Mus musculus: one gene and its partners. The main gene of each other region encodes a partner of the protein of the gene in region 6 in a complex. Links are inferred from orthologs where the notes say so. Each region holds a gene or a part of one and is shown on either strand. Other genes may lie near its edges. The genes, in order: Chtop, Thoc7, Thoc5, Thoc3, Sarnp, Alyref and Magoh.

Region 1 (4,706 bases), on a different chromosome or scaffold from region 6:
GGTGTTTAAATAAAGCTTTATTATAAAACACTTATTGGCATTCTCATGGCTTGCTAGACCAGGAGCTCCAGATCCCACGAACTTTAAAGTGGCACATTTGGATCAAGGCTGATGTGGGTTAAAGACTCCTCTGTTTCCACAAACTTGCAAGAACCAGAAACTCAGAAATGCAGCCAAGGGCAGCACAATTAGAAGCGATAACAAGGGCTCAGGTAACAGCTCTTAAGAGAAGTGGAAAGCATGAAATACACGCAGTAAGCAAATATGATGACAAGAAACAGAGATGCAGTTACAAAGACAAACAGAAATGCCGACACTTTTGGAGAGTGAAAGTTCATTCAAAGGACAAACAGGAGGAAGGATCAGAGCACCTTCAAAGTCCACTGAAATAACAGACTCATGAGTTATGGGAGTTTATTACATTCTAACATGTTACTTAGTAACACATGAATACAGGAAATTAATGTATCACATCTTAAAAGATGAACAGAGAAGCACATGTGCTTCTGAAGCAAACACAGGCACTAAATTAAATGCCTTGGGAGTTCTAGCAACAACATAATAAAATGGTGAAAGACACCAAATAAATGAAATTCTCAGAAACAAAAACTGCCTTTAAATACAAATAACCACTCTTTCTGACTCAGGACTTCTGAGAAAGTTAAATTAGTTAAGTCGCTTAAGAGCCTAAGAGGACATTATTCTATCATTCCTGTTATGATTAAGTTTAATAGAAGTAAACACACAGCTGATGAAAGATTTCAAAACAAAACAAACTAAAAAGCAGAATGGGAAGAAAGTGAAATGGAGCAAAGCAAGTGCCTCTTACAAGGCCCAAGAATGCCATTCAGGGGCCTTTGGACATAGTCTCGGCTTGCTACCTGCCTCTTACAGGCCAGACACAACACTGCTGGCCTCGGACTAGGCAGCAAGCCTCTTGCAGCCAGGATATACCATACCATCATGCTGCACCACCCCTGTATCAATGTTAGGAAAAAAAATTGAAGGGAGGGTGTGAGGAGTCTTTTAAAAAATATATCCCACCAGGTAAATATTTCAGATAGCTTAATATAAAAATCTACTGATAAGGGGTTTTGAAACAACTGCCCAATTTGTTTTGTACCACATTAGATGCAATTAAGAACAGAGGTCTGTAGCCTTCTGTCATTTAGCTTACAACTGGCTTTTTTTGTATTGGACCCCAGGGTCAATTTAAGTAATGTTTTCTTAGGAAGGAGCTGAAGTTGCTGTTGGCTGCCTCACCGCTCATTTAGAGACATCTTGGTGGTGCTTTTTAGCACAACTTTCGGCGCTGACTGTGCAGCCATCTTCAAATCCCGAGAATCTACAAAGGACAATATGCATGAGTCAATCAAAATAATGAAGCTTGCATTTTCACAAGAAGCAAGGCATAAATCTGTTAAAGGCCTATATTTTTAACTCTGAAGATGGTATCATGAGATCTTAAGTTTGCCAGGTGGTGGTGGTGGTGCACTTTTAGTCACAGCATTCCTGAAGCAGAGGTAGGTGGCTCCCTTTGAGTTCGAGGCTAGCCAGGTCTACATAGCAAGTTCCAGGACAGCCACGGCTACCTAAGAGAAACCCTGTGAGGTGGGGGCTTACGTCCATACAATAGTTATAAAAATTTCAAAGCTCCAGGATGGAGAACATCTGCCAAAGTCTCCAAAATAGCAGAATGAGATGTAGCCAAAGCCTAGGAGTTTGGCTTTCAATAGTTCTTCTCAGCCTGGACTGTATGTGACTTAGCTGAGGAATGTTTGAAAAAAAAAAAAAAAAGAAAAAGTCCCTCCCAAACTAAACTAAATTCTTGATGCCTGGATCCAGACCAATTAAAGTACAATCTGGCCATGAGGATGGGGTACAGCAACTGGGATTGGGGGTGCTACCCAGGTACATCTTACATGTCTATAGAAAGTTGAGGGTCATGGATCTAGAGAAATGGAGGAGCTGGGAATATAGCTCCTCAGTAGAGTGCTTGTTTAGCACTGATGAAGCCCTGGGAAGTTCAATTCCCAGCAGCAACAGGGGAGTGGTGTAACAGTCTGAGGCTGTAACGGGTTACATTGTCACACTGTGAGGACCGGACTCTCATACACCCAAAATAAAAAGAAAAGCCTAGTTTCAAAATCGATTCTCAACTCCAAATGCAGGTGGAGCTCTAGTTAGACATGGCAGGGGAAAGACAGAAGAGGTTTTCTAAATGGGTATTCAATCTGAGAGCTCTGTTAAGAGCACACCACAATATTTTAACTGTAGTGGCATATACTGGGGAGGGGCTGAGGCAAGGGGGTCACAAGCTCAAGGCGAGCCCGGGTGATTTGACAGACCCTGTTTCAAACTAAGATTATTATTATTTTTAAAGCTGGAGATGTTAACTCGGGGCGCTAGTTTAGCCAAAGTACGATTTTGGGTTCAACTTCGGTGCCGCAAAAAAAAAAAAAAAAAAAAAAAAAAGAATCAAAATCGAACACCCAGAGCCGCCGCTAATTCCTGTACTCCTCATTTGACCTCCACCTCGAAGCCTCTCAGGACTCCAACTTTGATCAGGCGACTATTTCCGTGGTTATCCCCATCAAACGCTATTCTGGGGCGAGGCTTTGGCTCCGATGGAGGACGCTTATCTAGGTAAGCAAGACACTGGATTTGAGGCCAAACCACTACGACCAGCACCACCAGCACCAGCACCTGCACCAGACACGCCAACCACAAGCAGCACCCGCACGGCTAGCGGCCCAGCTCGCTGGCCGCGGTTCCGGCTTAGCCTCCGCCTCCCGGCTCCGCCCCCTCCCCGGCCTCTGCGCACCTCAGCCCGGTCCACACCTGCCACCCACGCCACCGGGCCCCGGACCCCGCGCCCCTCCACCTCTGCCCTCTCCACAGAAACTCACCGAAGGAGATGGACGCCAGCGCTCCTCCCGGGGTTGCCACCACGGCTGCGGCGGGCGGCCCGGAGGCCGGCCTAACCTGAGCTGACGGCGGGCCGCTCGGGTTAACTAGCTGGGCGGTTGGCTTAGATGCTTAAACGGTAGGATGTGAGGCTTCCTCGTTGTGGGTTGAGTATCTAGCTGACCGATCCTCCCGCTCGTCAAGCCTGCCCTTTCCTGCCTTTCGTCTGGGCCCCCAGAGCCGGCGCCGCCAACTCCCGCTTGGTGTCCAAAACAAAATGGCCGCCGGGCCCACCAGTGCAGCGTGACCGGCTAAAATGGCGCCGACGGGCTTGCGTCAGTGCGCGCGCAACTAGGGGCGTGGCAACATGGTCCTTTGGCCTAGCGCAAGAATCGCAGCGAATCCCCACTGACTTTGGCAAAGATCCCTTAAGTTACGTGTAGTGCTCCGCCTTCGGGGGCGTGGCCAGTGGCCGTAATCGCTAAGTACCTCTAGACTACCTTCTGGACAAGTTTATGCCCCACTTTGGTGGGATTTTTGGCTTGCAAATAGCAGCTTAGATTGGCAACAGTGTTTGTATCCTTTTATTTCCCATTCCCAAGCTAAAGACAACTGTAAAAAGTCTTTATTAGGACCTTGAGACCTGGCTAATTTGCTCAGGCCCTCAAACCTATTTGTAGAGTTTCTGTTTCTTTTTGAGGCAGGCTTCCTTTGTGTAGACCAGACTGGCTTCGAACTCACAAAGATCCACCTCCTGACCCCCCCTAACCCCGCCCCTCCCAGTACTGGGATTTAAGACCCACACTGGACTCATCTACATCCTTTTATAGGGACTGCCTCTAGAAGATGTGGCTAGTTTTAGGGTGGGTCTTTTTACCTCAAGTAATCCAATAAAGCAAATCTGTATCCCCACTTATGTATCCCTAGTTCTTACATAATGTCTAGCAATGATGAGGCATCAATAAACACTGAATGAAGCTTGGGAAAAAGTTCTTCTAGTAGTTTTTTGGTTTTGTTTTCTGGTTTTGTTTTTTTGTTGTTGTTTTTTTTTTTTTTTTTTTTTCCGAGACAGGGTTTCTCTGTGTAGCCTTGGATGTCCTGGAACTCACTCTGTTGACCAGGCTGGCCTTGAACTCAGAAATCTGCCTGCCTCTGCCTCCCGAGTGCTGGGATTAAAGGCGTGTGTCACCACTGCCTCTGGTAGTTTTTTTGAGACAGAGTCTCTATAATGTAGTTCTGGCTGTTCTAGAATTCTCTATACAGACCAGGCTGGGCTTGGACTCACAGAGATCCTCCTGCCTTTTACGTCCCAGGTGCTGAGCTGGTGTTAACTATGGTACGTGCCACCATTTCTAGCTTTCTTCAGATTTTTTAAAAAAGATTTATTTATTTATTATATGTAAGTACACTGTAGATGTCTTCAGACACACTAGAAGAGGGCACCAGATCTCGTTACGGATGGTTGTGAGCCACCATGTGGTTGCTGGGATTTGAACTCCGGACCTTTGGAAGAGCAGTCAGGTACTCTTACCCACTCAGCCATCTCACCAGCCCCACATTTTTTGATGGCTTGTTTATTTCTGTTTCTGGCTATGTAGTATGGGCTGGCTTGGAACTCAAAATCTTCCTGCCTCATCCTTCAAGTCCTGGTATTACCAATTACTCATACAAATCCTTGAGAAGCCAATGACACTTGGATTCCAGCTAAAATTTTCGGACCCCTACATTTCTGGGTTTTGAGTGTTCCTTAAATAAGGAACTAATGTAAACTTGACAAGATAAGGTGTTGGGAGTGAGCA
Region 2 (4,750 bases), on a different chromosome or scaffold from region 6:
CTAGCAAAGTCTTACCCAGAACACAGAAATGATCAGGTGATGTTCCATTTACAGTGTTTAGAGGTACTTACGAATTAATTGGATTTGGTTTGGTTAGGTTAGGTTTGGTTTGGGATTCTGTTGTTTGGTGCTTGTGGGGGTGGGGGGGCGGGCCGGGGAAGGAGGTCGGTGTGCCTATGTAGCCCAGCTGGCCAAAAATTCAATGTTCAGACCCAGATTAGCTTCAATTCACAAACCTGCCAGCCCAGATAGGCTACCACACACCACCCCGCTGAATTTAAGATTAATATTACCCTCCTTCCTACGCCAAGGAAATGAACATGGTCCAAAGTCCAAGTTAGGAGGAGCCTTTAGACCAGTACTCTTTCAAAAAGTCAGCGAGCAGTTCCACATTTGGAAGAGGTCATTTATGCTTCAAAATCTTCATTCAGGGTAATTTCTGCCTTTGTGACAAAAGTAGATACTGTATTTGACCCATACATAGTTCTGCCTAGAGGTTAAAAACCACCTCCCTTGAATGATCCCAAGTCTTCCGCTAGAAAGAACTGAGGGAACACAGGGCCGATGCATGGATCCCACTTAAGAAATCTCAACAACCAAAAAATGACCCCACACCATTGCCTTATGCAGGATCTGAAGGTTCAAGGGATTGGGATCATGAAAACTGATAAACAAAAACCTGGGTTATAAAGTCAAACTCTACCCTGTTGGAGGTCAAATCAACTCTCAACAGGAACATGGTTCCACTAGGAGAACATTCCTCAATGTTGAATCAAAATGATTTTTTGTTTTGTTTTGTTTTGTTTTGTTTTTTTGTTTTGTTTTGTTTTGTTTTTTGTTTTTCGAGACAGGGTTTCTCTGTGTAGCCCTGGCTGTCCTGGAACTCACTTTGTAGACCAGACTGGCCTCGACTGCCTGCCTCTGCCTTCCAAGTGCTGGGACTAAAGGCGAGCGCATTCACTGCCCGACTCCCCCCCCCCCCCCGGGAGGGGGGTGGTTTATTTCATTTTTCAGAAGAGATGACACTATAACCTGCAGTGTGTTCTAGAAATGTGTACTCCGCACCCCCAAGTAATGTGTTTGCAATGAGCAGCACCCCCACCCCCAACACCTACTTTCAACTTCCCTTTAAGAAGCAGTTTTTGAAAAGCAAAGTTAGTATGAAAATGAAGGCACCCCATCTGGATTCCAGCAGCGAGGGAGAACTGGATGAGAGGTGAGAACCGGAGGGACCTGAGCCCTGGGTCCTGAGTGACGCTCCCCAGACAGGTGACCAAGTTTCTTTCCCCCGCTTCGCCAGCACCCGCCAGAGCTCAGGAAGGGAGGATGGCTTGCCGCGCCCGCCTCAAGAATACGGGTTCGAGACCCACGGCGGCAGTGGCCGCGCCCCCGTCCCACCGGAGCGCACGGTCGGGGCAGCCCGGGACAGAGGTCACCTGGAGCGTCAGGCGCGGAGCCCCGCGAGCGCGCGCAGCCCGAAGCTCACCTGGCGGCTGGCCGCGGCCTCCAGGGCGGCCTGTGGGCGCGGGCAGGGCGGGACGGCGGTGTCCCCGGGCCCAGCCGCCGCCGCCCGCCCTCCCGCCGCCCGTCTCGCCCTTCACCCGCCGGCCGCTCCGCGCCCCAGGAGAGCGGCGAGCGCGGGTCCGCGGCGGCGCGGCGCGCGCGCCGGCGCGACTCAAAAGTCGGAGAGGGCGGCGGGCGCCGCCGCCTCCTCCTCCATGACTGTTTACCCGGCTGCATTGTGGGAGTTTGACCTTCGCCGCCAACCGCCGCCTCAGCTCGGCCGCCGCCGCCGCCGCGCACGCCATGGGAGCCGTGACTGACGGTGAGGCCTCGGCGGGTGCGGGGACGCGGGGCAGCGCCGGGATCCGGGCCGTCTGGGGTGGGGGGCTCCCGGGGCGGTGCGCGGCGGGGAGAGGCGCAGGGCGGCTCGCTCGGCCCGGGCGATGCAGTGCCCCGAGGGGGCCGCCTGGGGGGCTTCCCGGGCCGGGCTGGGTCGGGCCCACGGGCAGCGCGGCGGGCCCCAGGGAGCGCAGGAGCTCGGAGGGCGGTGGAGTGAGGACCCCGAGCTGGGGACGGCGGCTAAGAGGAACAGGGGTGTCTGGAGGGCCGGTCGGGAAGTGTATCTGGGCGACTTACAAGGTAAGGCGCCAGCATGGGAAGAGGCCGGCGGCTTGGACCGCGGCAACAAAAGGAAGGCATGTTGGAGCGGGTGAGTTGTTGGCCTGAGTGGATTAGGAGTGATGGATGGTGGACAGTAGATGTCTGTGGGCTGAGAGCAGAAATAAGAGCGCGTTTGGGAGAAGGATGGACTGACACGATAGGCAACTGGAGCAGGAACTGAGAAGGTACCCGCTTTGGTAGAAAGGTTCCGGTGGCTTGATGTTGTTTGATGGGCTGATCAATAGCTATGGATCCCAGTGGAGAAACAGGGGACTTCCAGAAATGAACAACGATCGGCCCAAATTTGAGGACGGGCCGAGGAAATACCGATGTGGGTATAAATAAAGGCCTCGGAACTTGGTAGGGGGGATTTTAACCTTGGTTTTGTTTTTTTTTAATTCGAGTTTAATTTATTCAGGAAGTACTTAGCTTACTTCTAGGCAATACTTTACTGAACACGTTTGATACCCAGAAGCAGCAGGTAAAGGTGTTTCCTCTTATACGTCTGCAGTGGCTGTAAACATTAAAAATTGGTAGGGTGGCTGTGTGTGTGTGTGTGTGTGTGTGTGTGCGCGCGCGCGCGCCTGCCTGCCTCTCTTTGAGCTGTCTCTGCCTCCCTCCCTCCCCCAGGCAGGCCACCCTACTAGAGTGGCAGTCAGAGGACACTTGCTGAAGTCACTTCTTCACTTCCACCAGATGGGTCCTGGGAATTGAACTGAGGTGGTCTTTCTACTGGTGATTAGAAAACTTGACAAATTTGCTTTCCCCCTTCCTTTGAAGGGTAAATAGGTGTTTTAAAACTGGAATTACAAGTGACCAACCACTTGCCAAAATGATGAAAGAAATTCAAGATGGCATATAGAACTTAGAAAACTTTACACCATGAAATTTCCAAGATCAGGAAAAGCCAGTGAAAGGGTTTTTGTTGTTATTTGGTTTGGTTTTGAGACAAGGTCTTGCCAGGCAGTGGTGGTGCACACCTTTAATCCCAGTACTAGGGATGCAGAGGCAGGCGGATTTCTGAGTTCTAGGCCAGCCTACACAGAGAAACCCTGTTTCAAAAAAACAAAAAGAAAGAAAAAAAAAAGATAGAAAAAAAGAGACAAGGTCTTTCTATGTAGCTCTAGCTGTCCTGGAACTCACAGAGATTCCCCCTGCTTCTGCCTCCTGGGTGCTGGGACAAAAGGCACATGTCACAGCGTCCAGTCATTGAAAGTTTTAAACTGTTACTGTGATGTGATCACATTTGCTTTTATTTAATTAACTGACGCCTTTGTTTGCAATGCTGAGAGTAGAACCCATAGTCCTGTTCATTAGAAAACTGTTTTACATCCTGATCCAAATCTTCAGCACCAGATGTGCGTTTACAATTCACAGACCCATTCTACTCTTTGGAGAATATTGAGGAAATGGGAAGGGGGTTGCAGACATCACTCTCTCTTTCACTAACATTTATATAATATTTTGCAGCATGTGTTGCACAGTGTTCTAGTTATCCCCATTTTATAGATGAATCCAGTACCCAAAGGAATTAAATAACAGAGTTTCAGTGAGTTAAAAACCAACAGAGTCTAGAAGAGTATTCAGTCCTGTGGGGCTGAAGAAGGTGCAGGTAGTAGTGAACTGGTATGTAGGTACTGGGATTGAGCTCAGTCCCCGTGGGAGAACAGCCGGATGCTCTTAACTGCTGAGGCCGATTTCAGCCCAGCTAGCGTGGTCTGATTTTAGCCCCTTCTGTAGTGGGTTAGTGGAAGGTAAGGGGGTCTTTGATCAATATGACAAAACTCCAACTGAGGGAATTCAAAAAGTGAACAGAACTCATAGAGAATGTCAGGACTGCTCAGATGCGGGAGCTCAGAGGTTATCTTAGGTTTCTGACTTGGACGATTCTGTGCCTTGCTCCAAAAGAGGACTGGATTCTGCTGGTGAGAGAAGGAAACTTGAGCCCCTAGTCCTTGGAGGCCAGAGGAAGCCCCACTTTACATTTACAAGCTTCTCCCCTTTGTGGAGGTTACCCAGCTTCTTTGAGACTCAATTTTCTGCATTGATGAAGAAACAATAAAAGCTACCTTGGAGTGGTGTTTTGAAAATGAAATGTAGTAAAAGTTATAAAGGACTTTGTACTGAATCAAATACATACTAAAGTTTAGTAAATATTCCTAAACACAGAAGTTGTTTGCTAACCTCTTTCCACTTCTCTATGTAACCTCTTTCCACTTCTCTATGGAGAAGTGTGTCTCTATTAAGTGCCCCTTCCTTTGCTTTGGGGGAAGAAAATTGAACTGCAGTCAGTTTTAAATAAGCCATCAGCAAATATGAGGTGCAAGGTTCAGGGGAAGGTTAGAGGGAGAGATGCTGGAACATAGATATCAGTAACATGTGTGTCACTATGTGTATATGCATGTTACTAGGGGTTGAACCAAGAGCCCTTTGCATGCTAAGCAAGTAATCTACCACTGAGCTAAGCCACATCCCCAGCACTGGGCATCATAGGTGAGAAAATGGAATGGACTGATAAAGAGCCAGTCAAATTCTACCTCCTCTGAGGTGTATGTCCTTCTAACTAGACACCTCAGTGTGCTGAATG
Region 3 (3,984 bases), about 120 Mb from region 6:
ACAGAAGGGCAGAGCTGTTCCTTAGATGGTAAAGACTGGATAACAGAGACCCTCCCTTCTCCACAGTCCCTCTGGAGTCATGGACCTCTGTGCTTCCTTCCTCTTCTGACATCTGATCCTGCCAGGGCCTTCCACAGGGGTCACTGACATCATGCACAGGCGTTAGGCTGTTATCCTACCCCTGCCTCACAGCAACAAACACTGGGCTGAGAATGTCCTTCATTCTTTGATAGGTTGAGTGATGTAATAGCATTTGTGGGCTGGGGATATAGTTCAGGGGTAAAACACTTGCCTAGCATACCTGAGACCTTAGATGATTTCCAGTACCACAAAAGATAAATTAAACAGAATGTCCCAAAGCTGGAAGCATTATAAAGAAGAGCTTATTTAGCTCAAAAGTTTGTGGGTTTGCTTGTTACAATTTTTATTAAATTTATTTATAATGTACGTGTGTGCACTCAGATGTAAGACACACTCGCACGTATGCACACGAGTTATATATCAGAGGACGGCTTGAGGGAATCACTTCTTTGCTTCAGCCTTATGGGTTCTAAGGATCAAGTCGGGTCGAGGTGTGGGAGCAGGCACTGTTACCTTCTGAGCTGTCCCACTGGCCCGCTTTGTTTGTTTCTTTGTTTGTTTCGTTGAGACAGAGTCTCATGAGGCTCTAGCTGGTCTGGAACTCACAGAGATCTGTCTAACTCTGTTTTAATTTTGTCCTTGAGATCAGCTCAAGCTGGCCAGAATCCATTATGTAGTCCAGGCTGGCCTTGAACTCCCCATCTGCTTTTTTCTTAGCCTCCAGAGCACTGGGATTGCGCACATGAGATACCATGCCTGGTTTAGCTTTACTATTTGAAGGCTGAAAGTCCCAGGTGACCTGATGACAGCCTCGTGGCAGGTGATAATGTAGAGATGTGGAGAAGAAGGCACAGGTGAAAAGGAAACCAGAGGGAGTTGGGAGCTAATTCTGTTCTATAGCAGCGTTCTAGACACTAAGCAGAGTCCCAAGGCCCTTAATCCTTTTAGAAGGCAATTCCCTCTCATCCAAAACCCAGCTACCTCTCACGAGAGCCCGAGTCTTCAGATTCAACTGGGCAGCAGCACAGAGCTACCAGCTTCTTGTATAAATATCTTTGGGTAATGCATATGAGCCAAATCAGAAGGACCAATCCAAAGCCGTCTGGGAGCCAGGAGAGGGCTCGAGGTTAAAGCGCTTGCTGCACAAACCTGATGACCTGAGCTTGATTCTCAGAAGCCACGTCAGCATGTGGAGTGCAGTGCAGTGCAGCTCTAATCCCCGCACTCCTGGGGGAAGAAAGGTCAAAGGCTGTCGCCAGAGGGGAACTTACTATATGGAGATAGTTTATTCACCGATTATGAAAGCAGATTTGATGCCAGGCTGTTCCGGTTGAGCTCAGTCCTGTACTTCTGCAGCTCCTTACTGGTAGAGAAGTTTCTGTCAGAGCCTCACAGTGACAGATGTGATATGAGGAGCTGGGACCATTTGCCGCTAGTCCTAGGTGGGAGTCAGAGCAGGAGGATCAGGAATTCAAGGCCATCCTTGACTATAGATTGAACTTGAAGCTAGTTTGGGCTATGTGAGACTCTCAACAGCAACAACAACAAATTCTTGAAAGAAAGAAAAGGAAGGAAGGACAGGGAGGGGGAGGGAGGGAGGAATGAAAGGAAGAGAGGGAGGGAGGGAGGAAGGAAGTGGGGAGGGAGGAAGGAAGAGGCTGTAGAGATGGCTCAGTAGTTAAGAGCACAGGCTGCTCGTCCTGAGGACCTGAGGTCAATCCCAGCACCTACATGGCAGCTCACAACTGTCTGTAACTTCAGTCCCAGGGGTCCAGTGCCCTCTTCTGCATCCCAAAGGTGATGTATGCATGTTGGTGCCAATATACATGGAGGCAAGCAACCAAACACAGGCATACACACACATGCACACACGACGTTCTCGAAGTAGCAGGGTTTTTAATCCATTGACAAACCCCAGCAAGTAGAACAGGCTCTTTGGGGGAACCAGAGTCGTTGTGCCTTACACTGGGGACCTGGCAGCTCAGCTTGCATCCTAAAGCAGTCTATACCAGCATACTCAGCAGCACTTCAGTTAGAGGAGCCATTTGTGTTGGCTCTGGACACGTGTGGAGATCACCATGGAATGCTGGGTAATCACTGAATGTCTGCCTCTCCCTTCTTCTCAGCTAAACTTCAGGCTGCTGTGGTACTAAACCCTGGCTACTCCTCCATCCCACCGGTTTTCCGACTCTGTCTAAACTGGAAAGGGGAGAAAACCAACAGCAACGATGACAATATTCGGGTAAGGCCCACGTGGGTGGCAGGAGACCAGGGAGAGCCCTAGAGAGGTGAGCAGTGGCCAAGCCTGCAGTTGCTGAGGCTGTGGGCAGTGTCACTTTCAGGACAGGGCCTTACCAGGATTTACAGAACGTGCTCACCGCTTAATTTCCCTGACCCACAGCTTTTCCCATGTAGTACTGTTAGCACTGTTAACTGGCAGTGTCTGTGTACCACTCCAGTACCTGACTGGGGGTGACGAGGGAAAAACAGACACACAGACAGCTGCAGTCCAGTGTCTGACTCGGCTGGAGAACCCTTAGCCCACCCCCAGGCCCGGCATGTTTACTACGTAAGATTGCATAGGGAAGCAGGGCTACAGAGATGGATCGAGGAGGCAGGCTTAGCCAACCTCAACAGGAGCAGGCTGTAGGGAGCCATCTCCAGGCTGTAACTACCCAGAAGGAGAAAGCTGTGGTGGACACTTTGTGTCCACACCATCAACATCTACACACAGATGAGAAGAGAAGGCTCTGGCATTCCTCCTGGCCTCATATCAGGCAGGGGGAGGCTTTGCTGTACTTGGTGGGTCTGGGGCTAGGGTCCTAGATAGGCCAGTTCATGTCAACAACACACATCCACTCGGGGTCTCCTGCACTTAGGGTTTCCTGCACTCCCTTCAGCAAGGTGTGCCGGCACACACTTTTAATCGCAACACTGGGAAGACAGAATAGACAGATCTCTAATCTCAAGGCCAGCTTGGTCTACATAGTAAGTTCCAGGCCAGCCGCCTAGTGAGACCCTGCCTCCAAAAACACCCAAAAGGTTTCTTGTCACCTTGGGCTTCTGTGTGATGGTAAATAAGCTCAGAAGTATTATAGAAACTCAAATTCAGTGAGAGTGAGTGCTGTAGTGAGAGTGAGTGCTGTAGCTACTGTCAAGGACAAGTCTCTTGGTGGCCACAGAACATGTCTTCCTCTACATGTCCATGGTCCTTGCTGGAGGTGGCGAGGTGGGTGATAATCAGGAGGGGCCCATTGTCTTGAGGAGACGGGGTCTCTGGACGAGGTTGTAGCCCAGCTGTGTACAGATCCTGTGCAGGCATCAGCAGGAGATCTTGTGGTACCGTCAGGCTCAGCCATGAGGTAAAAGTGCTCGGCCATACTGCGGAAGCAAATGCTGAGGGTCTGGCTTCCCACCCACACAGGCTATGGAGAGTGAAGTCAACGTGTGCTATAAGGAGTTGTGTGGCCCTCGGCCCAGTCACCAGCTCCTGACCAACCAGCTGCAGAGACTGTGTGTGCTGCTGGACGTCTACCTGGAGACCGAGAGCCACGATGACAGCTTCGAGGGCCCCAAGGAGTTTCCCCAGGAGAAGATGTGCCTGCGGCTTTTTAGGTGAGTAGAGGGCTGGGCTCTTGTGACTTTCCTCAAGGATGTGAACAGAGATCGCAGTCCTCTAGAAGACTAGGTCTCATTGGACAGGACCTGGCACACAGAGAGGGCATCTGTCTTTGTGGCAGACAATTCTGCAGCCAGATTTCCAGGAAACACTTGTTTTCTCTTTCCTGAGACTTCCCTGCAACTGCAGCCTGGCTCACCTGTTCTTGTCAGCCCATGGATCAAGCAACCAAGGAGACTGCCCTGACTGAGCCATGCTACAAAGCTTTGACTGAACTTTGATTG
Region 4 (4,621 bases), on a different chromosome or scaffold from region 6:
AGCCTCAGTTCCCTCAGGATCAACAGAAAAATGTATAATCAGTATCAGTAAGAATTCATAAAATCCAGAATGCCTAAAAGAAGGTAGGATTTTTTTCTTTAATACTCTCTCTATCTTTCAAGTCTTTTGGGACAGGCTCACAGTTAACTCCTCCCTGCAAGGCAGGGTGGCCATTGCAGAGGTCTGACAACCCCGGCCAGTGCCTCACCTGAGGATGTTGATGCAACCATTGCCGTTGGTCAGGAAGAACATGTTGTTGTCGTTGTTCCATGAGATCTCATTGACCTCAAACTTGAACTGCTCCTCCGCTTTGGAGCGGTGTGTCTTGGCGTCAATGAAAGTCACAACGTCGTCCTTGTTGCCCACAGCGATGGTCTGCCCGTCGGGACTCCAACAGATGTTAATGTTCTCCCCTGGGAACCCAGATATAATCCGTCAGCAAGCTCACCTTTGCCCATCGGCCTCCAGAGTTTATTCTGCTCTCCTGGAAAGAAGATCAGAGCTACCTTCAGCACTTATTCCTCACCAAATCAATGGAAGGAAGCTTCCGATGACCAAGAGGCGACCGTGAGTCTAGACATTTGTCAAAGCACCTCCCCACTCCAACCCCTGGCACCAGTCTCATCAAAGTCACGCGTGTCCACACTGAACACAGGTTAAAATTTTCAACTTCATTAAACCTTTTTTCAAAACACCTTTTTTTTTTTTTTTTTGTACTTTACTGTCTATAGTGCAGTTAAAAATCTATCAGAAGGTGTATCAAGAATTCTATTGTGGGAGCTTGGTGGTGATGATACATGCCTTTAAACCCAGCACATGGGAGGCAAAGGCAGGTGGATCTCTCAGTTCATGAGTCTAGCCTAGTCTACACCGTGAGTTCTAGGATAGCCAGGGCTACACAAAGAAACCCTGTCTCCCCCTCAAAAATATATGTGTACATATATATGTATATATATGTATGTGTGTGTGTATACACACACACACACATTTTCTCCCCTGTGGGGCTAGAAATGGCTCAGTGGTTAAGAACACTTGGGTTTTTTTCCCTGGAGACCCAAGTTCAATTCCCTGTACCCACAATTCACAATCACCTATAACTACATTTATAGAGGACAAGACGCCTTCTTCCAGCACCTATACACATGTGGTACGTGTACGTACACACGTACACACACACACACACACACACACAGATGAAAATTAAAAAAAAAATCTAAAATCAACAAAACTGCCTGCCTTACTTTGGGTTTTACTGCTGTGAAGAGACACCATGACCGAGGCAACTCTTATAAAGAACAACATTTAATTGGAGCTGGCTTACAGGTTCAGAGGTTCAGTCAAGTATCATCAAGGTGGGACCATGGTAGCATTCAACCAGACATGGAGCAGGAGGAGCTAAGAGTTCTACGTCTTAATCCAAAGGCATACAGAAGAATGGCTTCCAGGTAAGCCAGGATAAGGGTCTTAAAGCCCACACCCACAGTGACACGCTTCCTCCAACAAGGCCACACCTAATAGTGCCATGCCCTGGGCCAAGCCTACTCAAACTACCACACTGCTTCTTTGAACACAGCCTTTAAACAAAACGCACAACTTTCCAGATCGCCCATGGTTTCTCAGCCATTGTAACCTGCCTGAATCTCCCAAACTCTCCACGCCTCTGCACATACTACTCTTGTATAGTTTCCACTGCTCTCCTATACATCTACAGCCTGCCAGAAAAGTGCTCTGTTCTGTTCCTGTCTTCTCCAGACAGACACATACAACCCATCCTGATAACCTGCACTTGCTACAAAGATGCTTGCTGCAGATCACACTAGCTTTTCCTCCAGAACCCCCTCTCTCTGAACTCACCTTTCGTATTCACAGTGGCGATGCATTTTGTAGTCCTCACATCCCAGATGCGAATGGTTTTATCTCCAGATGCGGTGACAAAGAGGTCAGGGTTGCTTGGGTGCCAACAAAGCTGGTCCACACTATCTCCGTGGCCCCGGTAGTTGTTTTCTTTGACCTTAAAAGAACAGAATCCAGATGCCACTTTTATCCAAACAGTGGTGCCTTGAAACCAGCAAAGATCTGGATAATTCAAAACAGAAATCTAATTCTTTTTCCAAAACTACAACACCCCCTCCCCCCCCCCCCCATGAACCTCTCTGAGCTTTGACATTGGCCCTTCCTGGCCTCCCTTCTTTCTTTTTCCACCACCACCTCAACCAACCTGTCCTGCGCTATCATTTTCAAATAAAGCCTTCCTCTCCACCCTAGGGGCTCTACCACCCCATTAGTCCCTAGCCACTCGTCACCAGGGCTCTTCTAGACCCTCACCACTTTCTGCCACCTGACTTCAACCTCCCCCGGCCCGCAGCCACGTCGCCACACCTCTTTACTGCCACTAAGTTCGCTCTCTGCTCTCCGCCAGGCAGCCTCACCCCCTTCGTCATTCCAACTCTTCCAGCCCCAAACCCCTTCCTCATCACCGCCAACGACAGGCCATACCCCTACCTCTCCTGCTTTTTCTCCCTCCGCACACAGCCCTCTTCTCCGCCAAGCCCGTGCCCTACAAGCTCACCAGCCGGTCCTTCTCCAGCAAGAACACGCTGGCAGTCTTGTCGAAGGACCCCGAGGCCAAGCGACGGCCATCGCAGCTCCAGGCGACCGAGTGCACCTTAGCACTGTGCGCCGGGAATTCGCGCGTCTTGCTGTGGCCTCGGAAGAGCTCCTGCATCCCGAGCACGTAACGAGACGGGCCACTGCTCACTGAGCACCAGGGCGCCATCGAGCCGGGGCCGCTCTGGCCGAGGGCCGAGGGGCCCAGGACCGCAGCGGGCGCCGCCATGCCTCCCTCCTCACGGACCGCGCGCCGGAAGCTGGATACTCTGAGTCTGGCGCCGTCGCCCTGCACATGCGCCGAAAAAGCGCCGCGTCGCTCCGCGCTGGCGCCTCTCACTCGCGGAACTACAAATCCCGCCATGCAGCGCGCGTCCACCTTTCCCTTTTGAAATAGGACTGATTCTTCCTTAAATTCGCTTTTTTTTGTTTGGTTTGTTTTGTTTTGTTTTGTTTTCGAGACAGGGTTTCTTTGTTTGTTTCCTGGCTGTCCTGGAACTCACTCTAGACCAGGCTGGCCTCTAACTCAGAAAACTGCCTGTCTCTGCCTCCCAAGTGCTGGGATTAAAGGCGTGTGCCACCACTGCCCGACTTGCTTCCCTCCCCCTCCCCACCCCCCACCAAGAGTTCAACTTTTTTTTTAAATGGTCTTCTTACCAGTTTCTTGGTAGCCTTGCTTATTCAAAAAAGAGAGTCAAGATAAATCCTCCAGTTTACCTGCATGTAAAATATCTTTTTTCTAGAGTTGTTTTTCACTGTAAGGTCCTCATCGTGCCCTTAAAGCAAAAGGCCATTGCAAGTTGTCGCTCCTGGAGAAAGGTTAGATGTTTGTGGAATGAAGGAATTGATAAGAAATGTGGGTTTGAGCCGGGCGTGGTGGCGCACGCCTTTAATCCCACCACTCGGGAGGCAGAGGCAGGCGGATTTCTGAGTTCGAGGCCAGCCTGGTCTACAACGTGAGCTCCAGGACAGCCAGGGCTATACAGAGAAACCCTGTCTCGAAAAACCAAAAAAAAAAAAAAAAAAAAAAAAAAAAGAAAAAAAAAAGAAAAAAGAAATGTGGGTTTGTCGGTTGGACTTGGGAAAAGTTGTTCGGTTAATTTGAGATTTGGTTTGTTCGGGGGTTTTGTTTTTGTTTTTAGTTTTTGAAGACAGGGCTTCTCAGTGTATCCCTGACTGCCCTGGAACTCACTCTACAGACCAGGCTGGCCTCGAACACACAGACATCCGCCTGCCTCTGCCTCCCAAGACGTTTTTCTGTCTTTTGATCTTGGTTGTTAAAGGATATTGTATATACATGATAGTAAACTAAAAGAAAATAGCGGAAAGTACAATGACCATTTTGTGTGCCATGCTCACATCTCTGATCCTCCCACTTATGTCTCTGTTAAACCAAAAGATACCCGGGTGGAAAAAAACAATGGTGCACAGCCAGGATTCGCCAAGCACTGGAGAAGAACTGTGCAGGGATAGGGGACACCAGAGGAATATATCCAACAAATATTCGTGTGAAAATGTCCTTATGAAGCCAGCTGTGGTGTCGCAGGCTTATAACCCCATCACTGGGGAGACAGGGACAGGCAGATCCCTAGGACTCACTGGCTAGCTGTCTAACTTCCTTGGCAAGTCCCGGGCTAATGAGTGACCCTTTCTCAAAACAGAACAAGGGATGGTGCCTCAGAACCACCTCCGTGTTGTCCTCTGGCCCCCACATACACACGTGTACTCACACATGCATATCCATGAAATCATTTTAAATGGGTCTATCCCTGAATACCGTGTTCTGTACTCTGTCTGGGACTGGAATTCCTGTGTATTTTCCCTACATATTCTCTTCTGTTACTTTCAGTAATAGCTATCTCCCTACCTGAATATAATTTCTTGAAATCTGTCATTCCATTGTTTTTATGACCCAGCAGTCTTGGCCCCCTCCACTGGTATTTTGCACATAGTAGGCACCCAATATTTACTAAATAAAATGTGAGAAAATGAAAGAAAGAAATCCTTATATAAC
Region 5 (3,984 bases), on a different chromosome or scaffold from region 6:
TATTTCTTTTTTTAAATGTGAGTTCTGGGGATCAAATTCTTTTCAAGCACTTTACCCATTGAGCTATCTCCACAGCCCTTAACATATCGTTTTTAACATTCTACATAGTCTAATATACTACAGTTTACACTTAACCAGTTAATACTGTATTGGATACATGTTTTTTTTTCCAATTTACTGATCAATATATATGGTGGTAACACAAGCCTCATGGCTAAGTCTTTAAGTATATCAGAGGTTACTTCTTGATAAATTCTTAAAAACAAAATTGTGAAGTTAAATACAGTCTCCTTCACTTTAATACTATGTTAGCTCAGAGCACTAAAAAAGTACACATAGTTTTATGCTAGTAAGACACAAAAATAAATGAACAAGGTACTAAAGATTTCTCAGAAGTCCTAAAAAAGAAACCCAATGGTGCGATCTCCTCCCCATAACTTCAGGACGTTCTCTCGATTATTCATGAGGTCTGAAGGGTACAAATGCAGAGCCTCTTAAGGGCTTCTAGAGCCAACAAAGTTATCTAATTTGGAGGAATGAAATCTATAGTCAGAAAAAAACCCAAAGTAAACTTTCTCAGAAGAACCTCTGTATTCTCACCTTTTGTTGGAACTGAAGAAATTCCAAACCTGTAAGAAGAAAAAACAAGCTAAATTTTAGGAAGCTGTTCACACCCTTAGTTGTCTGTGTCCGTGTCAAGGGTGCATGACACTTCTTTCTTGTGATCTCAAACTTTGCAATCATTAGCTAATTCTAACAACCCCATGAAAGAGGTTCAGTTTACTCTCCTTCTCACCAACAGTCCAGGAGTCCACTAAACGAACTCTTCAGACTCAGGAGCAGCTGCCAGTTCCTGACTTTTACCTATCATAAAAACCCTGACCAAAGATGGCAAAACTCAGTGAAAGCTATAACATCCAAATCAGCAGAAATGTCCTGAGTATGACCCAAACTGTATTCATTAAGTTCAATGAAAACACTTCTACTGAAAACCAACAACTATAACAAGAAACAAAGATCTGACCCCCTACACCACCATAACATTTCTATCTTGTATCCAAACAGGTAGAAGCACTCACCTAGCCGCCCGGGCAGCCTTCTTACTCTCCAGGCTTACAGGTACATTGAATCGTTCAGCCCTCTTCTGCATTCTCTAAGTGATATTAAATGAAAAAATTAAAACTGTAATTTCTTGTTTAAAAAAAAAATTGGTTATGGTCATTTCTTAAGATCTAACGGAAATACTGACAACTTTAGACCATATCAGGTAGCAGCCATTCTAAGGCTTAACACAACAATTGTTTCTAGAAAGCAATCAATCAATTAATCTCTCTCTCTCCCCGTATTCACATTCTCAAAAACAAAAAGAATAAAATCCATATTCTACACAAACCCCAAAAGTTCTATCTTGTTTGAAAAAGTGTATCTTGGGGGGGGATAGTATATCAAAGGAGCATATTGGTTCCAGTACAGGTAATCTAAAAACACCACCACCACCACCACCACCACCATCACTTCCTGCCTGAATTCTAAAAGAAGTGAATAAATCTCAACTATAAGCCAGGCATAGAGGTACACTCCCAGCATTCAAAAAGCAGAAGCTGGTGGATCTCTGAGTTCGAGGCCAGCCTGGTCTACACAGTGAGTTCCAGAACAGCCAGAGCTACACAGAGAAACCCTGTATAAAAACAACAACAACCCCTCTACCTTGAAAGTACAAAACTGAACACAAGATCTCAAATGAAACCTGATTTCAAACATCTTGAGATAGAATCCAAAGAAATTTCACTCTCACCAGCTAACAACTAACAACTTAAAGGAGTATCTGCCATTGCTATTTTTCCAAAGTACACACAATCCTCTCAAACTCTAATCCTATACCTATAGACTTATTAAGTTACTATTAAGGCTACAGTGGTATATGTAATCTATGACAGCTTAAAGATAACAACTCACTATGCCAGTCCAAATATTTTCCTGAGTTGGTGGAGAAAGAAACATCAATTGTCAATATTCCCCTAATTCCCTTAAATAATTTGTCTATGAATAAATTATTTACATGGATCAAACTCAGGCTTTAGCCACAGAGATCTTTACCCAGAGTGCCAACTTAACAGCCCTAAATGAAAATTTTACATAATGATGATGACAGAGAAAAGGTTAAAAACAGGAACAGCCAGGCATGGTGGCACATACCTAGAATCCTAACACCCGAGATGCTGAAGTACAAAGATTTTGTTTGGGGCCAACCTGAGCTACAAAGTAAATTGCTATTCTAAGGAACAAAAAATAAATATAAAAATGAGAACTCAGTAGTTGAAAGTGCAGGCTGTGCAAGTCTGATAACAGGAGCCCATGTAAAGGCAGAATGTGCTAGTATACAGCTATAAACCAAGTTTTCCTGTGGCAAGATGGGAGGTTGTCATCTTCTGGAAGCTCATGGGCCAGCTAGCCTGGTGTACACATCACAGCACTGGAAACAAGAGTCCTGACTAAGTTCAGCAAGATAGTTCAGTGAGTAATGTTCTTTAATGCCAAGCCAGACAACCTAAGTTTTATCTCTGCAACGCACATGCTAGAAGAAAAACCAATTCCCCCAAGTTGTCCTCTGACCTACACAAGCGCACTCGCACACAAACACGGCTCCCCCATATATAAATAAAATGTAATTTTAAAAAATGTTTTTAAAGGAGAGACCTCTACCTCAACAAAGTGAAGGCAGTCCTCTATCCACACATATACCATGGCATTTATGCATTCACAGCCCCACCCACACCTCAATTAAAATTTAAAAAAGAATACTTACTTCAGTCTGAGGTATCCCAGATGTAATCTTTACCACCTTCTTTTCCGATGCCCTAAGAAGACAGATTTTTAAAAGTCAGAAAACTGCTATCTTAACCCAAAGCATTAGAAATGTGCAAGAATCACCTGAGTTATATCCTCTGCCCCACATGTGTCTACCACCCCTTAATCCAAAGAAACATGAAGTCCATAACAAGTCTGACTCCTTGAACTGTCATCAACTGAGAAGAAAAATTAAAATAAAACTAAGTTATTTTAACTGAAGTTCGAGACCATAATCAGCAAAGAAGTCAGGCTAAAAATACAGGGATGAAGGGACACACACATAAGTCATTTCATTTGCTTTTAGACACTTTATAGTTACTTTTGAACTAAGAACTGTATCTCCAACCTCCAATTATATACAAACTCAATTTTTATCACAATATTTAACTAGCGCTGAACCAGCCCTGATTTCCTTCTTTTATAAGTCCCTATTGCTCCCGTGGGATTGTAGCTCTAGCTGAAACCGTCAAAGCAGAACAAATAAAAATGCCACAGGAAGTGGGTGGGAGAAGAAAGGCTGAATTAGGAAAACATGGCGAGTTACTGGTCAAAAGGCTTAAGAGAAAACAAAAGAGGGGGACCGCAGGGGCAGGAGACAAAGTTCGGAAGTCCCCAGGATAAATGGAAGGGCATTAACTCTCCAACAAACAACTCCCATAAAACTGCGGGTCATAACCAGTCTCATTAAGGTCCCTTATTTAGAGACATGGGCAGCTTTTGTTCCAATATCCCAAACACTTTTCCCATTTGATGCCCTGAAAGGTAGTAATGGTTTAATGACATTTTCAGAGGAAGCAATTCTGGAACCTGATTCTCCTCCATCTTTTTGTTGGAAGTCCTTAGACTAACAGGCAAGCAAAGAATGCCCCCTGCTGACCATAAGGAAGTCCTACAATATTTGTTTTGGCTCAGGAGAAAAAAAAACTTAAAACAAGATAGAGAAGTATATTTACACATAACTTCAGGCGTAAGATGATGTAAAGAGATTTCCTTTTGGATATACAAGGGATTCTAATCAGCCTTGGAATATTCAGACTGTTTGCTAACTCTCCATTTTTTTTTATTGCTGTTGTCTGAAACATGGCCCCTTTCATTCAGCCAAAGCTATCTTCAAACTCCTAACTCTCCTTCCTC
Region 6 (4,434 bases):
GAAAATAAAGTGCAATAATAATAACCCCACCAACACCTCCTCACTCCTTCTCAGTTCAGGCTAGGAGGGCTGTTTGGTCAGGTGTTCAGGGTGCTCATGGGCAGACAGGTGTGGGTGACCTGACGGAAGAAGAACAGGTACCTTTGTCTTTACGACTACAGCCCCGCACTCAGGTTGTACTATGGCGGTTCTGAGAAGGCTTCACAGAAGTGAATCTTCCGGAAGGAGCTCAAGGAGGGGAGGGATGTAGCTTGCTGGATGGGGGTTCACAAGAGGTTGGTCCAGATGTGTGGGGCAGCATGAGAGGTGGCAGAATGGAAGAGAGAGACAAAGGGGCAAATGCAAAGTATCCTCAGCCAAGGGGGGGGGGGCAGCCCAGATTCCTACAGGGAGAGGTGCCAGCCCCAAACTCCACACGCCCCACAGGCATCCAGGGCCCAGTCCCAGACTCACCATCCAAAGGGACACCATTGTACTGTTTCATAGCCTTCAGGGCATCTGCTTTCCGTTCAAAGTGCACATCTGCTGTCCCTAAACTTCGTCCAGAGCGATCATAGTGCACAGCAGCTTTTTTCAATGTCCCAAATTCAGCAAAGAGTTCCTGGGAAGGGGTAAAAATTAGCAATTAAGCCAATTTCCTTCTTGTAGCTCAGCAACACTTGCTGTAAGTCCTTATGCTTTAGAGGTACTTGACTGACAGCCACCCAGGAAGAAGGCAAGGCAGTGGAGATTAAGAGCTGAGGGAAGGGGAGACAGCAACTGTCGCGAACAACTGGGTTACTGTCCACTGTGGGACAATGTAATTACACCATGCTGTAGATGAGGGAAGACACAAAGTCCTATCACAGGACAAAACTACAAAACTCTCTCTCAGCAGGGGTACTTTCAACTTGACTAACTGCGTTTCACTAAATACCAGAGGCCAATAGTAAAACTGTCCATTGAGCAGACAACGCAAAGGGCCCAGTATTTTGGGGAACTGTGACACAGCCCCTACTGCAAAGGCAGGTTCTAGCTCACCTTCCCCTTTCCTCCTACTGCCTGCTGCTGCCAAGTCTGAAGTGAAATGCAGCATGGAACCTGTCCTGGCTGGGAGTTGGAGAGGGAACCCACAGAGTAAGGCACTTCAGCTGCAGGCACACAGTGGGGAGTACAGCTAGCTAAAGCAGTTTCCAGTGGATGCCAGAAACCACCTTTAAAAAAAAGTGTTGAGACAGGCTGGAGAGATGGTTCAGGGGTTAAGAACACTGGCTGCTCTCTTTCAGAGGACCTGAGTTCAATTCCCAGCAACCAATGTGACTCACAACTATCTATAATGGGATCTGATGCCCTCTTCAGGTGTCTCTGAAGAGAGTGACACTGTACTCAAATCCATAAAAATAAATAAATAAATCTTAAAAAAAAAAGAAGTGTTGAGACACTGTGAGTGCTCACCAGCCTTGTTCTTTTCTCCCATGGGGAGGTCAAACAGCTGGGCTCTGGGGAACGGTACCCAGAAAGGCCCAGCACACCTGACTCAGTTCTGGCTATATCAAAGCTAATTCCCAAAATTATGCCTTGTAACCAGAGAACTCTAAATGCCTCTGAGGTCCAGTTTATAAAGAAATTTAAAAAGACACAAAATCCAAGAAGGGAGGGGAAGAGAAAAAAAATATTTCGAAGGCATGGAGAACCATGACCCAGGTAAGACCCAGGAAAGATCGCCAGTTAAGATCCAGCACAGAGACGCAGGCTGGAAGATACTCTCAGCCACCTTTCTCAGCATCTGGGAGATGCTGGACTTCCTTCTCCTATCAGTTCACCATATCGAGCATAAATCTGAGAAGCAAGCACCTTTCGGTCATGCTGGGACCGGAGTTGTGGCCAGTCTGTGCAGGTTAGAAACTGTAAGCTCTGGCACAGGGCAGGCGCTCACAGTTTGGACAGCAGACAGGACTCATTTTTAGGGGGGCGCGCGCACACACACACATACACACACAGTGTGTGACATCTTCCTGCAGCCTGGCTTATGGGGTCGTGCTCAAACCCTACTTTTTCTGAGGCCAAGGCTCTCAGGGTGACAGTGGCTGGCTCTGGGCAGCCTAGGGGAGGGCAGGTTCCAATCTGTAAAGGATCCTGGAGCCCACGTCCGCGTGGGACGAGGAAAGCGGAGAGCTCCCGTCTCCTACCTGAATATCAGCATCTGACACTCCGAAGTCCAGGTTGGACACCAGCAGCTTCCCGCCGGTCTCCACGCCGGCTCCACCCCCGAAGCCGCTGTCGAAGAGGTCGTGCTGCCATTTGTCGGGAAGTTGTTTCGGCTGGAGAGAAACCGTAAGCACAGAGACACTCGTGAGACTCGTCCCGGGAGCCCGCGACACCTCGGCGACGCTCTCCCGTCGGCCCCGCGGCCAAGGTCGAGGAGCCCCGAGAGTCCCCCAGCCCCGCCGCTCCGCTACGGACACCCAAGTTCTCTCGCAGCGGCCCCCGCCGCCACGAGGCTGGACCACGACCGGACAAAGCGTCCCGGAAGATCCTGGCCTCGGGACGGCCTCGCCCCCGCCCACCCCTCGGCCGCGGTCCCGCGCGGGACGCTCACCCGGTCCCGGCCGGCCCGGGCGCACCCTCCCCGGCCCGCGCCGCAGGTCCCCGCACTCACTCTGCTGTACGGCGCCGGCCGGTTCCTGCCGCCGCCTGCGGCGCCGCGGGCGATGGCGGGCCGGTTCCTCATAGGCCCGCCGCCTCGATTCACCCGCGCGGCGGCCTGCACTGCGCCGCCGCGGCCGCCCTGGGAGCCGGCCCTGCCGCGACCCCGGCCCCCGCCGCGGCCTCCTCGCTGGCTCCGGTTCAGCTTAATGATGTCGTCCAAAGACATGTCCATTTTGTCGGCCATGGCGGGCGCGGATTCGGGCCTCGGATCGAGCCCGCGCGTCAGCACGCCGCGGCGTCACTTCCGGCGCCTCCCCCTGCCTTCCGGCGTCGCGGGCCCGAAGCGAGCGGCGATTGGTCTGGGCGCGCGCGATTCCGCAGAGCGCCTGCGTACGGCTCGCCGCGGTGGCTGGCGCTACTTCGGAGGAGCCCGACGCGGCGCGGTCGTTTTTATACATTCCCGCGCGGAGGCAACGGAAGGGCGGGGCGCCTCGTGATTAGGCCGCGGAGGTGCGAGGGCGAGCAGGGGGCGGGGCCTGCGGGCGCCTCCCTGGGAGGCCGGAAGATCCTCGGGCGTCGCCTGGGTGCAGCGCAGTGTGCGCGTCCCGCGTCCCTCCTCACCGTGCGATCGTGGGGGTCCCGGCCGGTCCGTGGGTCCGACTTGGTTGTTTTTGCTCGAAGGCTCGGTCTCCTGACGAGCTGGCGTCCTCACCCCTGCTTTAACTTCGCGGATTAGTGACAGTCACTCTTTCCATATCTTTAAAAGCGAGGCCCTGGTTAGTGAAAACCAATGTTTTGCGTGGATGCGGAGGTTTTGTTTTTGTTTTTTTGTTTGTTTTCGTTTCCTGTTTGGCTGATCTGCTTCTGCCCCGGGATTAGAGGCGTGTGCCACCGTGCCAGACTACATGAGTGCAGATCTTTAAAGGCATCCTTAAAGGTGGCAAAATAAACTCGTGCCATTAATCCCACAGGCTCTCCTTGCCGTCTTTAAAGACAAACACGTGCCTTTTTCTTTCTTTTTGGTCGGGACGCACGGAATTTTGGAAGATGCCGTTCTTGACGAGTGCAGCACTTGCCGCAGCTCCATGACTTTGAGCTTAGGTGCTTTCGTATTCCGTACTAACTCCAGGTCATCCTCTTCCCTCAGGTCACAGGCTCTGTTGTCATGAAGGTGAAAATTAAATGTTGGAATGGTGTGGCCACTTGGCTCTGGGTAGCCAATGATGAGAACTGCGGCATCTGCAGGATGGCGTTTAATGGCTGCTGTCCAGACTGTAAGTGTCTTCCTATGCGCTCTCAGAACTTTAGCCTACTCCACCAGCCTAAAAATCCCTAGGTTTCCCAGCACTGGGTAGGCAGAGACTGGAGGATCTCTGAGTTTGAGTTTAGCCTGGTCAACAGGACAAGTTACCTAACCCTAACCGAAACCCCACCGGACAGTGGTGTTGCACGCCTTTAATCCCAGCACTCTGGAGGCAGAGGCAAGTGAATCTCTGAGTTCAAGGCCAGCCTGATCTACAGAGGGAGTTCCAGGACAGCCAGGGCTACACAGAGAAACCCTGTTTTGAAAAAAAAACAAAAAACAAAACAAAACAAAAACAAAAAGCCAAACAGTGCAAGTTCCAGGATAACCAGGGCTACAAAGAAAAGCCCTGACTTGATAAAAGACCAGGTAAAACAAAAACAAAAAATTGTGGGTTTTAGTTTCTATTATCTGAGGGGAAAGTCGACAGAAAAAAGAAGCAGAATACTTCAAGCCCAGGTTTGTCTAAAGACCCCATCCAGCATGATGGCAAACACCTGTAA
Region 7 (3,069 bases), on a different chromosome or scaffold from region 6:
ATAGGCTTCAAGCAAACATGACACTAATTTATATAAGGAAATTAAGCACTAAAGACTCTAGTACCAGAATTCCTGAAACCAACCCTTCCATGATACTGAACCACTGTGACCTGGAGCCCCTATGAGGAGGACCACACCACCCACTTTTTTTTTTTTTTTTTTTTTTTGAGACAGCGTTTCTCTGTGTAGCCCTGTCTGTCCTGGAACTCACTCTATAGACCAGGCTGGCCTTGAACTTAGAAATCCGCCTGCCTCTGCCTCCCGAGTGCTGGGATTAAAAGCGTGCGCCACCACGCCCGGCCACACCATCCACTTTTGTGTTATGTCTGCACATCTTTCTCTGCTGGCCTCGTGTGGTTGAATCTCCAACAACAGACACAACTGATGATAAATGTCATGCATGCTTACTTGGACTGGTTGACATCAATAAGGGAACCAATTTTTGATGTTGTGAAAGAAATGTGTTCATCTCCAATGACAATTTCAAGCTCCTAAAAACATTAAAAAAAAAAAAAGAAGAAATTATATCTCTCTCAAAGTCAGACAGTATTGGTTCATTCACCAAGCATACAGGACGAGGGCTCAACCACACTCTGGTCTTTGTGCTTGCAGTGTGTGTGTGTGTAAGATCTATGCATGTAGGCATGCATATGCATGGAGGGATGAGGACTACCTGTGGACGCTCTCTCCTTACTCCTTTACTTGGGCTATGGAAATTGAACATAGCGCCAGGTGCGCCCTCAGGGCCTTTACCCACTGATCCGTCTGCTGCTCCCCATCCCCATCTTTTAAAAGAAACACAGGTTAATGCCTGTCGCCCACTCTATTCTGACAGCCCCTAAAACTGCTGTGCATTCCTTCCACTTGCTTTTTAAATAAATGGCCACAGCACACGTGTATATGTCCTTTCTCATTCAACACCGTGTCTAAGATTTACCCTCGTTGAGCTGCTCAACACGTAAATGCTCTCAACATGCCATTTCCTTACTGAATGGACCTAAGTTCCCAAGTTCTGTTACTATAAATGATGTGGCAAGAATGTTCTAGGTCTGGGGGCTGAGCTCAGTAAACATTTGTGCCAGCCCTGGGGCTAGGTCTGAAGTCCCACTCTGTTAGCTCCTATCCACATGGCTGCCGATGGGGCTGCACGGACACTCCACTCCTACCAGCAGTGTAGTGGCTCCTTCTATGCCTTTGAAGACCTGGGTGAGACTTTAAGTGTTCTCCTACTTTTGCAGGTTACAACTGCAGCTGTAAATTTTTTCTGTGTTTGCTGGCTATTATTTGAATCTATATACTGTCTACTTGTAACCTTTGCAACATTTCCCCTACCCCAGGTTATCTTTTTATTGGTTTAAATACATTTTCCAAGCATCTTCACCCAGTCTGTGGTTTGTTTCAACTTTGTCTTAATGTCTTTTATCAAACAACTTTTAAGAGTTTTTTTGTTTGTTGAGACAGGGTTTCTCTGTATAGTCCTGGCTGTCCTGGAACTTGCTCTGCAGACCAGGCCAGCCTTGAACTCAAGATCCACCTGCCTCTTCCTCCTGAATGCTGGGATTGAAGGTGTGAACTCAGAAATCCGCCTGCCTCTGCCTCCCGAGTGCTGGGATTAAAGGCGTGCGCCACCACGCCCGGCTTCCTAGCTAAGTTTTAACTTTAATGAAGTCAGATTTATAAATCTTTTCCTTTAAAAAAAAAAAAGTTTTGGTTTTTTTTTTGTTGTTGTTGTTGTTTTGCTTTTTTGAGATGGGTCTCACTATATAACTTTGATTGGCCTACAATTGCTAAGCAGACCCAGGTTGGCCTAGAATCCACAGAGACCCGCCTACCTCTGCTTCTCTAGTGCTGGGATTAGATGTGTACGCCACCACAATTAGGCCTCCCCCGCCTCCACACCCCTAGCATTAGGATAGAAACATGGGGCTATACAAGACAGGAGAAACACAGACTACAGAAGTCTGGAATACAAGAGTAAGTAGCACACAAGGTGGAATTATCTTGTACTTTTTTAGTTATCAAAATGGTAATAAAGGACTGGGAAGTTGGCTCAGTTAAGAACACTGATTGCCCATCTAGAGGACCTGAGTTCCATCCCCAACACCAACATGGAATTAATGATTCCCTAGAACAGGGTATTCCTAGTTCTGTAGGGACCCCTCCTCCCATAGAGCAGCAGTCCTCCTCCTCTTTGTAAGAAGTACAAAGTAGAGTCAATAAAGCACTCACCTGCCGGCCCACGCGATCAGGAGGGGGCCACAGAGCATCATCTTCTTTGGTGATTTCACTGTCATCAATAATTCTCTTTAACTCTTCCATCACACTTTTATGCACATAAGCCTGCAATCAAGTTTAAAATGTATGAGCCTAAAGGGGCCATTCTCCTTCAAACCACCGCACCCCAACAACATCCAACTCAGAAAGTAATAGTGAGAAGAGTGAGAGGCACAGCCTTTAGTAAAGATCAGGGCTCAAGGGCAGAGGAGGCAAGGGAATTATCTGGTCCCCTTTCGCCCCTTTGTCATGTGAAGAACAAAGTTTGTTTTGGGAGGCTACAGCAATAAGACACCATATAGAACAGATGGGGTCCTCACCACACAACCAACCTGACAGGGCCTTGGAATTCACTGAGAGGTGAATCTATTCTTTGTACCCAGTCTCAGGCATTTTAATATAGCAGTGCAAATGGACAGAGATACACCTTTACTCTATGGCTTGGACATGATTTCAGTGTGGCCTTCCCAACTCCATTTATGTGACTAAAGGTTTGGTCCTCAGGGTGGTACTATGGGAAATGGTATAGACCTTGAAGAGGTGGGAATTAATGGTGGGTTCTTAGATCATTGCAGCATATCAGCAGAGGAATTGTGGGCCTCCAATGTCTGTGTGTTTCTCTCCTGGTGAGAGAGGTCACTGCGTGGCCACACACCCATTCTCACTACTGCAGCGGTGTTTGGATTTTGAACCTCTGGAGTGATGAGCTAAATAATCTCTTCTTTATTTTTGAGAATTTCACTGAGCCTCACTGGCTTCAAACTTGCTATGAACTAATTATTTCTTTTAAAAAGG

The links.
Region 1: Alyref (region 6) and Chtop share a complex: the UniProt entries of both Homo sapiens proteins name them as parts of the transcription/export (TREX) complex. The link is inferred for Mus musculus from reciprocal best matches to the Homo sapiens genes ALYREF and CHTOP.
Region 2: Alyref (region 6) and Thoc7 share a complex: the UniProt entries of both Homo sapiens proteins name them as parts of the transcription/export (TREX) complex. The link is inferred for Mus musculus from reciprocal best matches to the Homo sapiens genes ALYREF and THOC7.
Region 3: Alyref (region 6) and Thoc5 share a complex: the UniProt entries of both Homo sapiens proteins name them as parts of the transcription/export (TREX) complex. The link is inferred for Mus musculus from reciprocal best matches to the Homo sapiens genes ALYREF and THOC5.
Region 4: Alyref (region 6) and Thoc3 share a complex: the UniProt entries of both Homo sapiens proteins name them as parts of the transcription/export (TREX) complex. The link is inferred for Mus musculus from reciprocal best matches to the Homo sapiens genes ALYREF and THOC3.
Region 5: Alyref (region 6) and Sarnp share a complex: the UniProt entries of both Homo sapiens proteins name them as parts of the transcription/export (TREX) complex. The link is inferred for Mus musculus from reciprocal best matches to the Homo sapiens genes ALYREF and SARNP.
Region 7: Alyref (region 6) and Magoh share a complex: the UniProt entries of both Homo sapiens proteins name them as parts of the ALYREF/THOC4-EJC-RNA complex. The link is inferred for Mus musculus from reciprocal best matches to the Homo sapiens genes ALYREF and MAGOH.

Annotation. Positions count from the first base shown.
Region 1 is NC_000069.6:90,506,282-90,510,987, forward strand, and holds the start of Chtop (chromatin target of PRMT1 protein), read right to left. Parts: upstream 3,218-4,706; 5' UTR 2,910-3,217; intron 1,346-2,909; 5' UTR 1,329-1,345; coding exon 1,264-1,328; exon of another isoform or gene 1-1,263. UniProt on the Homo sapiens protein: Plays an important role in the ligand-dependent activation of estrogen receptor target genes. May play a role in the silencing of fetal globin genes.
Region 2 is NC_000080.6:13,958,260-13,963,009, reverse strand, and holds the start of Thoc7 (THO complex subunit 7 homolog), read left to right. Parts: upstream 1-1,806; coding exon 1,807-1,825; exon of another isoform or gene 1,826-1,946; coding exon of another isoform or gene 1,947-2,142; intron 2,143-2,793; exon of another isoform or gene 2,794-2,944; intron 2,945-4,750. UniProt on the Homo sapiens protein: Component of the THO subcomplex of the TREX complex which is thought to couple mRNA transcription, processing and nuclear export, and which specifically associates with spliced mRNA and not with unspliced pre-mRNA.
Region 3 is NC_000077.6:4,922,541-4,926,524, forward strand, and holds part of Thoc5 (THO complex subunit 5 homolog), read left to right. Parts: intron 1-2,207; coding exon 2,208-2,323; intron 2,324-3,505; coding exon 3,506-3,696; intron 3,697-3,984. UniProt on the Homo sapiens protein: Component of the THO subcomplex of the TREX complex which is thought to couple mRNA transcription, processing and nuclear export, and which specifically associates with spliced mRNA and not with unspliced pre-mRNA.
Region 4 is NC_000079.6:54,465,972-54,470,592, forward strand, and holds the start of Thoc3 (THO complex subunit 3), read right to left. Parts: upstream 2,870-4,621; 5' UTR 2,837-2,869; coding exon 2,570-2,836; intron 2,012-2,569; coding exon 1,855-2,011; intron 414-1,854; coding exon 209-413; intron 1-208. UniProt on the Homo sapiens protein: Component of the THO subcomplex of the TREX complex which is thought to couple mRNA transcription, processing and nuclear export, and which specifically associates with spliced mRNA and not with unspliced pre-mRNA.
Region 5 is NC_000076.6:128,845,406-128,849,389, reverse strand, and holds part of Sarnp (SAP domain-containing ribonucleoprotein), read right to left. Parts: intron 2,859-3,984; coding exon 2,807-2,858; intron 1,154-2,806; coding exon 1,080-1,153; intron 630-1,079; coding exon 601-629; intron 1-600. UniProt on the Homo sapiens protein: Binds both single-stranded and double-stranded DNA with higher affinity for the single-stranded form. Specifically binds to scaffold/matrix attachment region DNA. Also binds single-stranded RNA. Enhances RNA unwinding activity of DDX39A.
Region 6 is NC_000077.6:120,595,467-120,599,900, forward strand, and holds the start of Alyref (THO complex subunit 4), read right to left. Parts: upstream 2,900-4,434; 5' UTR 2,873-2,899; coding exon 2,639-2,872; intron 2,301-2,638; coding exon 2,169-2,300; intron 602-2,168; coding exon 454-601; intron 255-453; exon of another isoform or gene 142-254; intron 1-141. Other genes in the region: Anapc11 (anaphase-promoting complex subunit 11), read left to right, coding at 3,794-3,902. UniProt on the Homo sapiens protein: Functions as an mRNA export adapter; component of the transcription/export (TREX) complex which is thought to couple mRNA transcription, processing and nuclear export, and specifically associates with spliced mRNA and not with unspliced pre-mRNA.
Region 7 is NC_000070.6:107,882,339-107,885,407, reverse strand, and holds part of Magoh (protein mago nashi homolog), read right to left. Parts: intron 2,341-3,069; coding exon 2,230-2,340; intron 492-2,229; coding exon 409-491; intron 1-408. UniProt on the Homo sapiens protein: Required for pre-mRNA splicing as component of the spliceosome. Plays a redundant role with MAGOHB as core component of the exon junction complex (EJC) and in the nonsense-mediated decay (NMD) pathway.